Danio rerio: one gene and its partners. The protein of the gene in region 1 purifies or fractionates together with the protein of each later gene. This does not show direct contact. Links are inferred from orthologs where the notes say so. Each region holds a gene or a part of one and is shown in the gene's direction. Other genes may lie near its edges.

Evidence for each region. Proteins that work in one complex are often made in the same cells at the same time.
Region 2: the proteins of ppp4r2b (region 1) and tiprl purify together in Homo sapiens (affinity purification with mass spectrometry; 5 studies listed by BioGRID and IntAct, counting the BioPlex papers as one, with this or other methods). This does not show direct contact. The link is inferred for Danio rerio from reciprocal best matches to the Homo sapiens genes PPP4R2 and TIPRL.
Region 3: the proteins of ppp4r2b (region 1) and ppme1 purify together in Homo sapiens (affinity purification with mass spectrometry; 3 studies listed by BioGRID and IntAct, counting the BioPlex papers as one, with this or other methods). This does not show direct contact. The link is inferred for Danio rerio from reciprocal best matches to the Homo sapiens genes PPP4R2 and PPME1.

The regions. Positions count from the first base shown.
Region 1 is NC_133181.1:46,718,841-46,722,865, forward strand, and holds the start of ppp4r2b (serine/threonine-protein phosphatase 4 regulatory subunit 2-B), read left to right. Parts: upstream 1-1,225; 5' UTR 1,226-1,315; coding exon 1,316-1,349; intron 1,350-2,634; coding exon 2,635-2,716; intron 2,717-3,207; coding exon 3,208-3,378; intron 3,379-4,025. UniProt on the Homo sapiens protein: Regulatory subunit of serine/threonine-protein phosphatase 4 (PP4). May regulate the activity of PPP4C at centrosomal microtubule organizing centers.
Region 2 is NC_133185.1:310,319-312,473, forward strand, and holds part of tiprl (TIP41-like protein), read left to right. Parts: intron 1-182; coding exon 183-282; intron 283-2,155. UniProt on the Homo sapiens protein: May be a allosteric regulator of serine/threonine-protein phosphatase 2A (PP2A). Isoform 1 inhibits catalytic activity of the PP2A(D) core complex in vitro. The PP2A(C):TIPRL complex does not show phosphatase activity.
Region 3 is NC_133196.1:26,828,252-26,831,751, reverse strand, and holds part of ppme1 (protein phosphatase methylesterase 1), read left to right. Parts: intron 1-574; coding exon 575-674; intron 675-778; coding exon 779-871; intron 872-3,339; coding exon 3,340-3,397; intron 3,398-3,500. UniProt on the Homo sapiens protein: Demethylates proteins that have been reversibly carboxymethylated. Demethylates PPP2CB (in vitro) and PPP2CA. Binding to PPP2CA displaces the manganese ion and inactivates the enzyme.

The DNA.
Region 1 (4,025 bases):
CTACCTGTGCTTATTAAAAGAGACGTATTCAGTTATAAATAGTCTATTAATTTCAGTCAGGTTGTTGTTGTTGTTAAATCGTGGTAAGATGCCTATTTCCATGCTGTCTTGCAATATATTGTATTAACCCCCAGACAATAGGCTATAGTCTATGCACTGGAAACACTAACATTTTTAAAAGACACTATAAAGATGACCTAATATTAGCATGATGTTTTAGTTGGATGGTTACAAGTACATTTTGTAAAATTAAGAGCAAGAAACAGTCACGTGTTTAGACAGAAAGATGAGTGTTCAGTTATTATTTGCAAACACTTTTGGGTTTAATAGACGTCTAAAAGACATCTAAACGTAGGCAGCTTGGCTAAAACAAGACTAAACTTGGGCTGTCACTGAAAATCCAATACACGTGTAAGAATAGCCCAAAACTAGACTAGTCGTAAAATAGACAGACTCTATATGTGTAGTCTTTCATTTCTGTTTATTTGATGACTGGTCTAGTTTTGGCCTATATTCTTAAACGTCTATTCTATTTTCACTGACAGCCCAAATTTAGCCTTGTTTTAGCCGAGATGACTATTTTTGGACATCTATTAGACCTCTTTTAAAAACATAAAATGCTTGCTGGATGGGCTGATTATTTCAGTCAGGTTGTTTCAAATCCTTGCAGGATGCCTACTTCAATATCATTATGGGTGTACACTTAAATGACCATTCCACAGTTTGTATTATATTTATCTATTATTATTAATCAGTACAGTGCAATATAAATACCCCTCAGACAATTTATTTAGACATCAGCCCTGTAGTAGCCTAGGCTTTGTAGCTGAATGATTTGGCTAGGCTACGTTTTGTTTTAGTTACAATTCAGAGCCAGATTAGTCATTCTAATGTTTAATTAAATTTACAGACGAGAGTTCAGGTATAAATAGGTTAAATAATTCAAGTCACATAGAAGTGTTTCAAATCCTTGTAGGCTGCTAAACATTAACAGCACTTATGATCATACACTTAGCTCGAAATGTGACTATTCTGCTTTAAAATACCGCCTACACGAGACGTTCACTAGGTATTGCTGCACAGCAACAAAAACACTGTGTTCAACCACCCAGAAATGATGCCTAAATAGGAGGCTGACTAGGCTTTGGAACGCGGCCATGCTATTGCGCAACAGCCAGCGCTCCTGAAGAGCGGCCGGCAGTGACGTCGCAGTCGCCGCCATATTGAAATGTTTCCCATCTCCTCTTCTTCACTGAGCTCAACAGCAGCCATCAGCTCTCGCTTTCCAACAGGAGACAGGGAAAACAACACAGACATGGAGATAGACACTCTTCTGGAGGCTCTCAAAGGTACCCGGTCGCGTGTGTTGAGGCGGTCAGGGCGAGTTTAGGATGGAGTTATATGTGGTTATTGTCTGGTTAATGTGAGTTAGCTCATGCTAGCATGGCCTGTGGCTAAATGGCTTTTCCTGTTTTTCGAGGTCTGTTGTGTGTTAAGAGCAGATCAGCAGGTTTCATTCTTCTATTTTTACGACGACTTTAAATTTCTGTCAGAAAATGGAGGGTTGGATTATTAATACGTTAATAAAAAGGCTATTGTTGGAGTTTACTAGGTAGTGGACTGCTATGATGTAGAGTTGAATTAAGTATTCTAACCTTACACATCTGTGTGTTCAGTGTTAACTATAAACTTGTGAATGATTTTAACATTTTCTTTGTGAGTTTGTTCTTTCTTTAACGTGATTTTCTTTTTGTATTTAACGAGAAATCTTTCATTTAAGTTGCACTTTAGCTCTGCTCTTAGCCTAGTTTATTTAAAAAAATATCAATGAATAATTTCTCATTATTATTTATATGTTTTAATAATGATTTTTGTGAGTAGTACAAATTGTTTTGGTGACAAAATAATATAATACTACTATTTATTGTACCTGTATGAGCTTTATGTAAGTGTGTTTGGAATAGGATATTTTCTCATATTTCTAATGAAAGCTCACAATTGTCTGATCAAGGCCTATTTGATGTAAATGAGTGATTTGCCGTTCTTATATTTATTTTTTATATACGTATATTGTTTATTTTTTAGGGAAGTGGAAGTGGTTTTGATCACTAAATGATTATATATATATATATATATATATATATATATATATATATATATATATATATATATATATATATATTGTTCCAAATTGTTGAAAGGTAACGGCTAAAAGATATAACAAAGTTATGGAACTTGTAAATGAGTTTAAGATTACAAACGACATGTTTACATAACCTAGATGTTTATCATAGTTGCACTGCTTGCCTGTTAATAGATCTGTGCTTGGAAAATGATTCTATATTTTCATAAAGGTGTGCATAATATTATAGTTGTTTCTGGACGCTCAGAATAGAAAATTGTGTTTGGTTTTAATGCATGAAGATTATCTAGAAAGAGAGCCGCTTTGTAGTTGTGTGAAAATACGAACAAATAATTGAAAGAACAATAAACGACTATTTCCTCCTTATATTTGTGATGTCTGAACTAGAATGGAGTCAATCAGAACTAAAATATTATTGATAGACTGAAATGCATTAGCAGGATTTGGAGTTGCATGCACTCCAAAATAACTTTTGCTTTTGTCTCCTGCAGATTTTGACAAGAAGGTGAAGAAGGAAGCGTCTACAGTTTTGGACCAGTTTTTGTGCCATATTGCAAAGACTGGGGAAACCCTGTAAGTACATTCAAATATCTATGAGTGATCTAAGTGGGACACAGAAACCCTTTTCACCTTTGTCTTCTAGTGGTTTGTTAAAAATCATAACTGCTTTTTTAGGTAACACCAGAGGGTGGGTTGTTATATGACCTTTTGGTTTTGTTCCAAAACAAACTAAACCTTGTACTTATCGACTAGATCTGACTTGGCCGACCTGCTCTCATTTCATGAACTCTTTAGAATACATGAATGAAAATTAAAAAAATATTAATATCTATCTCTTTGTAATACTTCTGCTGTCAAATATATTTGCTCAATGACACTGAAATGTGTTATTAACAGTCGTGCTGGTTTTATGCCACTCACATCACCCTGGACTCTACTCACATTATGTAACAATTGCAACCAAATCATTTAAAGCCCATATAATAGTAAGTTATATAATAAACAGCTTTGTGACTGACAAATCTAAAAATAAACTGAGCTGTGAATGCTGTATATCTCTTCAGGGTGTCCTGGTCTCAATTTAAAACCTACTTCGTATTTAAACTGGAAAAAGTAATGGAGGATTTCCATGCATCGGCTCCAGAGCAACGAGGGCCTGCCAACCCTAACGTGGAGTCAATTCCCTTTGAAGAAATGAAGGAGCGAATCCTAAAGATTGTCAATGAATACAATGGGTAAGTTTGTTATTCTTGGCGAAACTGTGGGATTGTGTTGTGGCAATTTTAATGTCTATCATTCATTATCTGAAATTGATCGGCACAACATCTAATGTCCCGTTTCCACTGAGTGGTAAAGTACGGTACGGGTCACCTTTATCAGGTTTGGAATCCAACCACCTAAAGGGTAAAAATGGTCCTCTTTTGTTGGGCTTGGTGTACGACAGAAGGTTTGTCTACATCATTTTCGCTCGAGGACATTTCAAAGTAAAGCAGTACAGGTCATTCACATATCATATAAGAAGCACTTCTCACAAAACAGGTGCTTTATACACATAAATACTTGTGTATAAATGTTCAGTACTAACTTGTCTATGAACAAGATTTGATTATAACTGCAGATCAATGATGCAAAATAGTGCGAAATGGCTTACTGAAACATCTGCAATTTATATAAAATAAATAAATAAATGCAACATGTATGAACACATGTAGAAACTTATAGTTTCCGATATGTTACCGATTACAGAAGAACGACATCACATACATTTAGGCTTTATTTGAGTTTAAAAACAACATGCAACATCAGTGCAAACCTCTCATCTGTATCCTTAATCTTCACTTCATGTTCAAGCTCTTGTTAGAAAGTCATTCCATCATTCTGA
Region 2 (2,155 bases), on another chromosome or scaffold:
ATGCCAGACTCCTGAACGGCAGATCAGCACACAGCCGAGTCCACAGTAATGTGGTGAAGTCAACATGACAGAGTGTGGAGGATGATCAGCAGCACGATAATGAGCCAGTTTATCCCAAATCCCAACTCCTCTGTGTGTGTGTGTGTGTGTGTGTGTGTGTGTGTGTGTGTGTTTCTCCACAGGGCTCAGTCTGAGCACTCTACAGAGGCGGTGAAGCGCTATGACTGGACCTACACCACCGACTACAGGGGAACGCTGATCGGAGAACAGACACAGATGAAGGTGCGCTCTCACACTGCAACACACAGATATAGACTTTAAGGGTCCTCGCTTCTCCACACTGCAGCGCCTGAACACACAGAGCTGCAGACGCCACTGTGGAGGATCAATAACAGGTGTAATGGCATGCTCGTATGTAAGGTTCTGTTGGTGTGCGCGGGCCTCAGCTCTTGGTCTCTCTGTAACTGTGCTCGGGCTTTTTCATTCTTCAGCTCTCTCCAGCAGATATTCAGCAGAGTGTTTCCAGCAGATACTGTAGGGTTTTCATCACATATTAACATTAAAATCTTTTAATTATTTGTTTTGCCTTGAAACTGGGCTGAACATGTTGCATTTGCTGATGAAACGCATGCTGTGATCTGCTGCGGTCATGTTTAAGCTGCTAGACGGATCAGTGGATGCTTTCAGTCATTCTGGACACACTGATCTGATATCAGATTTGCTGGATCAGCATCTGCCATATAGGCTGATCCAAATCTGATATTGTGGAAATGTTCAAGCATATGAACATAACTATATCCCACTATCGCCTGTATATCGCACTGGTGGGAGGCTGTGTTGGCTCGAGGCCACAGGCTGAGTGTCTTAGTGTCCCACCAGTGGCGATATACAGCCATATGGCACTGCTACTCGTGTTATATTGCATTTATACAACAGTTTGACCGTATAATTGTGTGTATAAAACTGAAAATCAAACTCAGAGAGTCTAAAAACCCTTGTGTATGAGGAACTACTTTCTCTCGCCGTTCATTCACATCTGCAGCTGACGTCAGAACAGCAGAAGCCGCTGCTCATTCCCCATCATCACTGTAGAGCTGGTGTCTGAATGATTCTCCAGCGTAATGTCTACAGTGAAGACAGAACAGCTGATTCTGCTCACAGTTTAAGATGATAAGGCTGAACAGCAGGAAGTGTCATCAGTCTACAGCAGGGCTGTCAAACTCAATTCCTGGAGGGCCGCAGCCCTGCACAGTTTAGTTCCAACCCTGCTCCAACACACTTACCTGTAGGTTTCAAACCAGCCTGAAGGACTCCATTAGTTTGGTCAGGTGTGTTTAATTTGGGTTGGAACTAAACTGTGCAGGGCTGCGGCCCTTTTGGAACCGAGTTTGACACCTGTGCTGTACAGAGATCTCCCAGCGTTCCTCTGCTGCAGTCAGGAGATCACTATAGTGAACCCTGAAAAAGCCAAAGCAGAACAACACTAGCAGATCACTGCTGTGTCTGAGATGAGGAGAAACACTGAACACATGCGGGCATTTCTTCTGTCTCTCTGTTTACTGAACCAGTCTGCAGTAATGAAAACAGGAGACGCATCAGAAACAAGCAGATGGCCAACACAGAACACACACATTCCTGATGTCTGAGTGCCATCTCACACTCGACACTGCAGTTACTGTGGTATAAATACAGCACTGCAGCACAGCGAGAGAGATCCGCTCCGAGTGTCTCTGACCTGCTTAATCATGGAGTGATCAGCTGCAGTTTAACATTACGCTGGTTATTCCTCCTCTAAGTGCGCATTATACAGTCTCTGTCGCCATCTTGTGGATGGACAAAGTTGATGATCTTTGCTCTGCTCAGTATGGCAGGCTGATGGCCGCCGACGCGCTGTCTCTCAGAAATAATGAATATTTAAAAGTCAAAAGCTGTCCTCAATAATAACATGCGAGCTGCACTCTAAACCTCTCCATTCTCACCTAATTAAGCCTCGGCAGTGCACGATGATGGCCAGCGCTGCAGTATGAGTCCGACTGCAGTGAGTGTACTGATCTGCTGTCACTCTCTGTGGGCGGAGGAATACACGAGGGTGAAGAGGCTGGACCAGTGCTGTTACTGCGAATATCACACGGCTATCAGCCAATCAGATTCCAGA
Region 3 (3,500 bases), on another chromosome or scaffold:
AAGGTTATCATACCGTTAAAATCTCATATACTGTACATGTGACCAAATAAAGGTGTCTCTAAAAATGTTTATGTTGTTAATATTTTAACATCGATACATAATAATAGGCGTTTCGTTGATCTGCTGATTGATGTCAATATCACAGTGTTGTTACACCTCTAATACTTGACCAAGATAGTTACATCATGATGCAAAATGTTAGATTAATCAGTTTAACACAAACTGTATGGGAAAAGGTTTAATTTAAAGATTCCCTGTTGTTAATGTAAAGCCAACATCTACCTATTATATTATAACCACAGACTATTGGGAGTAAGAAGTTTATTCACCTGCTAAAGCAAATACTTCAGAAAAAAAAATTGCAATGTCAAGTTGTATCAAACTCCTGAAAACAACTTGTCATCTTCATGTAGGCTATATTTTGTTTAAAATTGCTTCTCCAATTTGTTCTTCGATTTTGTTGTGCTTTATATCCAGTTGGTCAGACATTTAAACTGCAACGATATAAGGATATACAGTACATATAATATCCACAAGAACACTCAGATGTTAATGACGTGATTTTTTTATGCAGACCAGGAAGAAAGCGAGATTTCTCTCCCCTTCCATGGAGTCATTACTTTGAAACTATTGAGGACGTGGAGGTGGAGGTGGAAAATGACAACAGCAAAGACATATCCTTTGTTTTACTGTGGAGCAGACTGTTGGCCAATTATGCTATTTTTTTATTCAGAGGTTTCCATCTTGTTTTGTGAAGCATCCTTTAACTCCTGTGTACACATTCAGAATTTACAGCAGTGGCTCTCATGGTCCCGTCCTGCTGCTTCTGCATGGAGGAGGTCACTCTGCTCTGTCCTGGGCCGTCTTTACTGTGAGTTTAATATATCTCTCAAAGCCACACATGAATACAAGCATAATATACAGTTGAAGTAAGAAATATTAGCCCTTCTGAATTATTAGCCTACCTGCATATATTTTTCCAAAATTTCTGTTTAATAGTAAGAATTTTTTCAACACTTTTCTAAACATAATAGTTGTAATAGATCATGTCTTATAACTGATTTATTTTATCTTTGTCATGTTGACAGAAAATAATATTTTACTTGATATTTTCCAAAACACTAGTTTTCAGCTTAAAGTGACATTTAAAGGCTTAACTAGGTTAATTAAGTTAACTAGGCAGGTCAGGGTAATTAGACAAATCATTGTATAATTATGTTGACAATCAAAAAATATATATTGCTTAAGGGGCTAATAATAATGACCTTAAAAGGTTTTTAAAAACTAAAAACTGCTTTTACTCTAGCCAAAATATAACAAATTAGACTTTCTCCAGAAGAAAAAATATTATCAGACAAACTGTAAATTATATGTTACTCTGATAAGTGAAGTTTATTCATAAACTAATTTCGAGAGGAGCACGTGATTATGATTGAACACGGCTGGTTCTGCATTAGCATGCTTGATCCACCAATCAGGCCATTCCTAACCACTATAAAGAGCCAGGGTTTTCTCACTACAATTATCTTCGATTTGAAGAATCCCCCCTTCCACCCCTACCTTTTCACCTTTCCCTCCATAGGGCAGCACGGTGGCTCAGTGACTAGCACTGTCGCCTCACAGCAAGAACGTCACCGGTTCTAGTTCCTTAACAGGCCGGTGGTCGTTTCTGTGTGTAGTTTGCATGTTCTTCCCGTGCTTGCGTGGGTTTTCCCCGGGTTCTCCGGTTTCCTCCCACATTCCAAAAACATGTACAACAAGTTAATCGTTAAATCTAAATTTCAATACAGGTAATCTAATAATGCAGCATATCTTTTAATAGCCTTCAATCTTAATCTTTAGCTATTATAAAAAGGGGAGTTGTCGAGATCTACCTGAGCTCGAGGCTCCCCTCTCTTCCTCCAAACGGGAGGGAGCCCAGGGCTCAAGAACCTTCGAGCTCAGGGCTCTCTCCCGGGACAGCATGCCAAACTTGCTTATAATCAATCATCAGCTAAGTGTAAACTCTTGAAACAGTGTTTGCGTAATATTTGAAAAAGAAAACAAAATTCACAGGAGGGCTAATAATTTTGACTTTCACTGTATATTGTTGTTTACATTTTTTAAAATCAGTTGTTTTTGATTATAACATTTTATTATTTACTTTTTAAAATGTTATTTAGCTATGATGTATTAAAAGTTCATCAAATGAGAGAGCAAAGAAAACAAAAAGTGATTAATCTGCTAGTTTCCACAAAACTATGAAGCAGCGATTCAGTATAATCAGGATAATTGAATGGCATCTAAAGGATCAAGTGACATTGAAGATCAAAGTAATGATGCTAAACATTCAGTTTTTTTTTTTTTGCAGGAGATAAAATAAATAAAATATTATATGAGTAATAAAAATATAATAACAGTAAATACAGTTTTTGCTTTTTTATTAAATAAAGGATGCCATGGTGTTTATTTGCATGTGCATATAAGTACAGTTGAAGTCAGAATTATTAGCCTCCCTTTGAATTTATTTTTTCTTTTTTAAATATTTCCCAAATTATGTTTAACAGAGCAAGGACATTTTCACAGCATGTCTGATAATGTTTTTTTTCTTCTGGAGAAAGTCTTATTTGTTTTATTTTGGCTAAAAAAAAGCAGTTTTTAATTTTTTTAAACATTTTAAAGTCAAAATTATTGGCCCCTTAAAGCGATATATTTTTTCGATAGTTGACAGAACAAATCATCGTTATACAATAACTTGCCTAATTACCCTAACCTGCCTAGTTAACCCAATTAACCTAGTTAAGCCTTTAATTGTCACTTTAAGCTGTATAGAATTGTCTTGAAAAATAAAAGATGAAATAAATCAGTTTTTAAGAGATGAGTTATTAAAACTATTATGTTTAGAAATGTGTTGAAAATATCTTCTCTCTTTTAAACAGAAAATGAAGAAAAAAATAAACAAGGGGCTATCAGTTCAGGGGGTTTAATAATTCTGACTTCAACTGTATATGCAACGTGTTTTGAGTTGAATCAAGTGATAAAATTAATGTTAATCTATGCTTAAAAAAACATCAAAATCTAAAGCATTTTATACTGGGAAAGATATATTTCTAGGTCATTTTCTGTGTTCAATATGTAATGTCTGTAAACATTTAACCTTTTGTTATTGAAATTTGGTAGACACATTATTCATGTTTTATAAATTAAAACGCAAACGCATGTTTTAAATCCAGAAAAGTAACAATAATCTGAATGTAGTCTCTTCATAATTTTCAGAGCCATATAATAATATTACTATTTCACTCCTACAATTGATGCTAGTTTTTGGTGTCTAATATTGTGCAATTTTTGTATTTTCAGTCTGTTATTTGCAGCCGGATCACCTGCAGAGTTGTAGCGATGGACCTCAGAGGACATGGTAACTGATTTATTAATTGTGTTAATTTCAGAAATCTTCCTTTAATTAGCTGAAAAAAAAATAAGGAATATAGATTTTAAAATCATATTTCAACATCATTCTT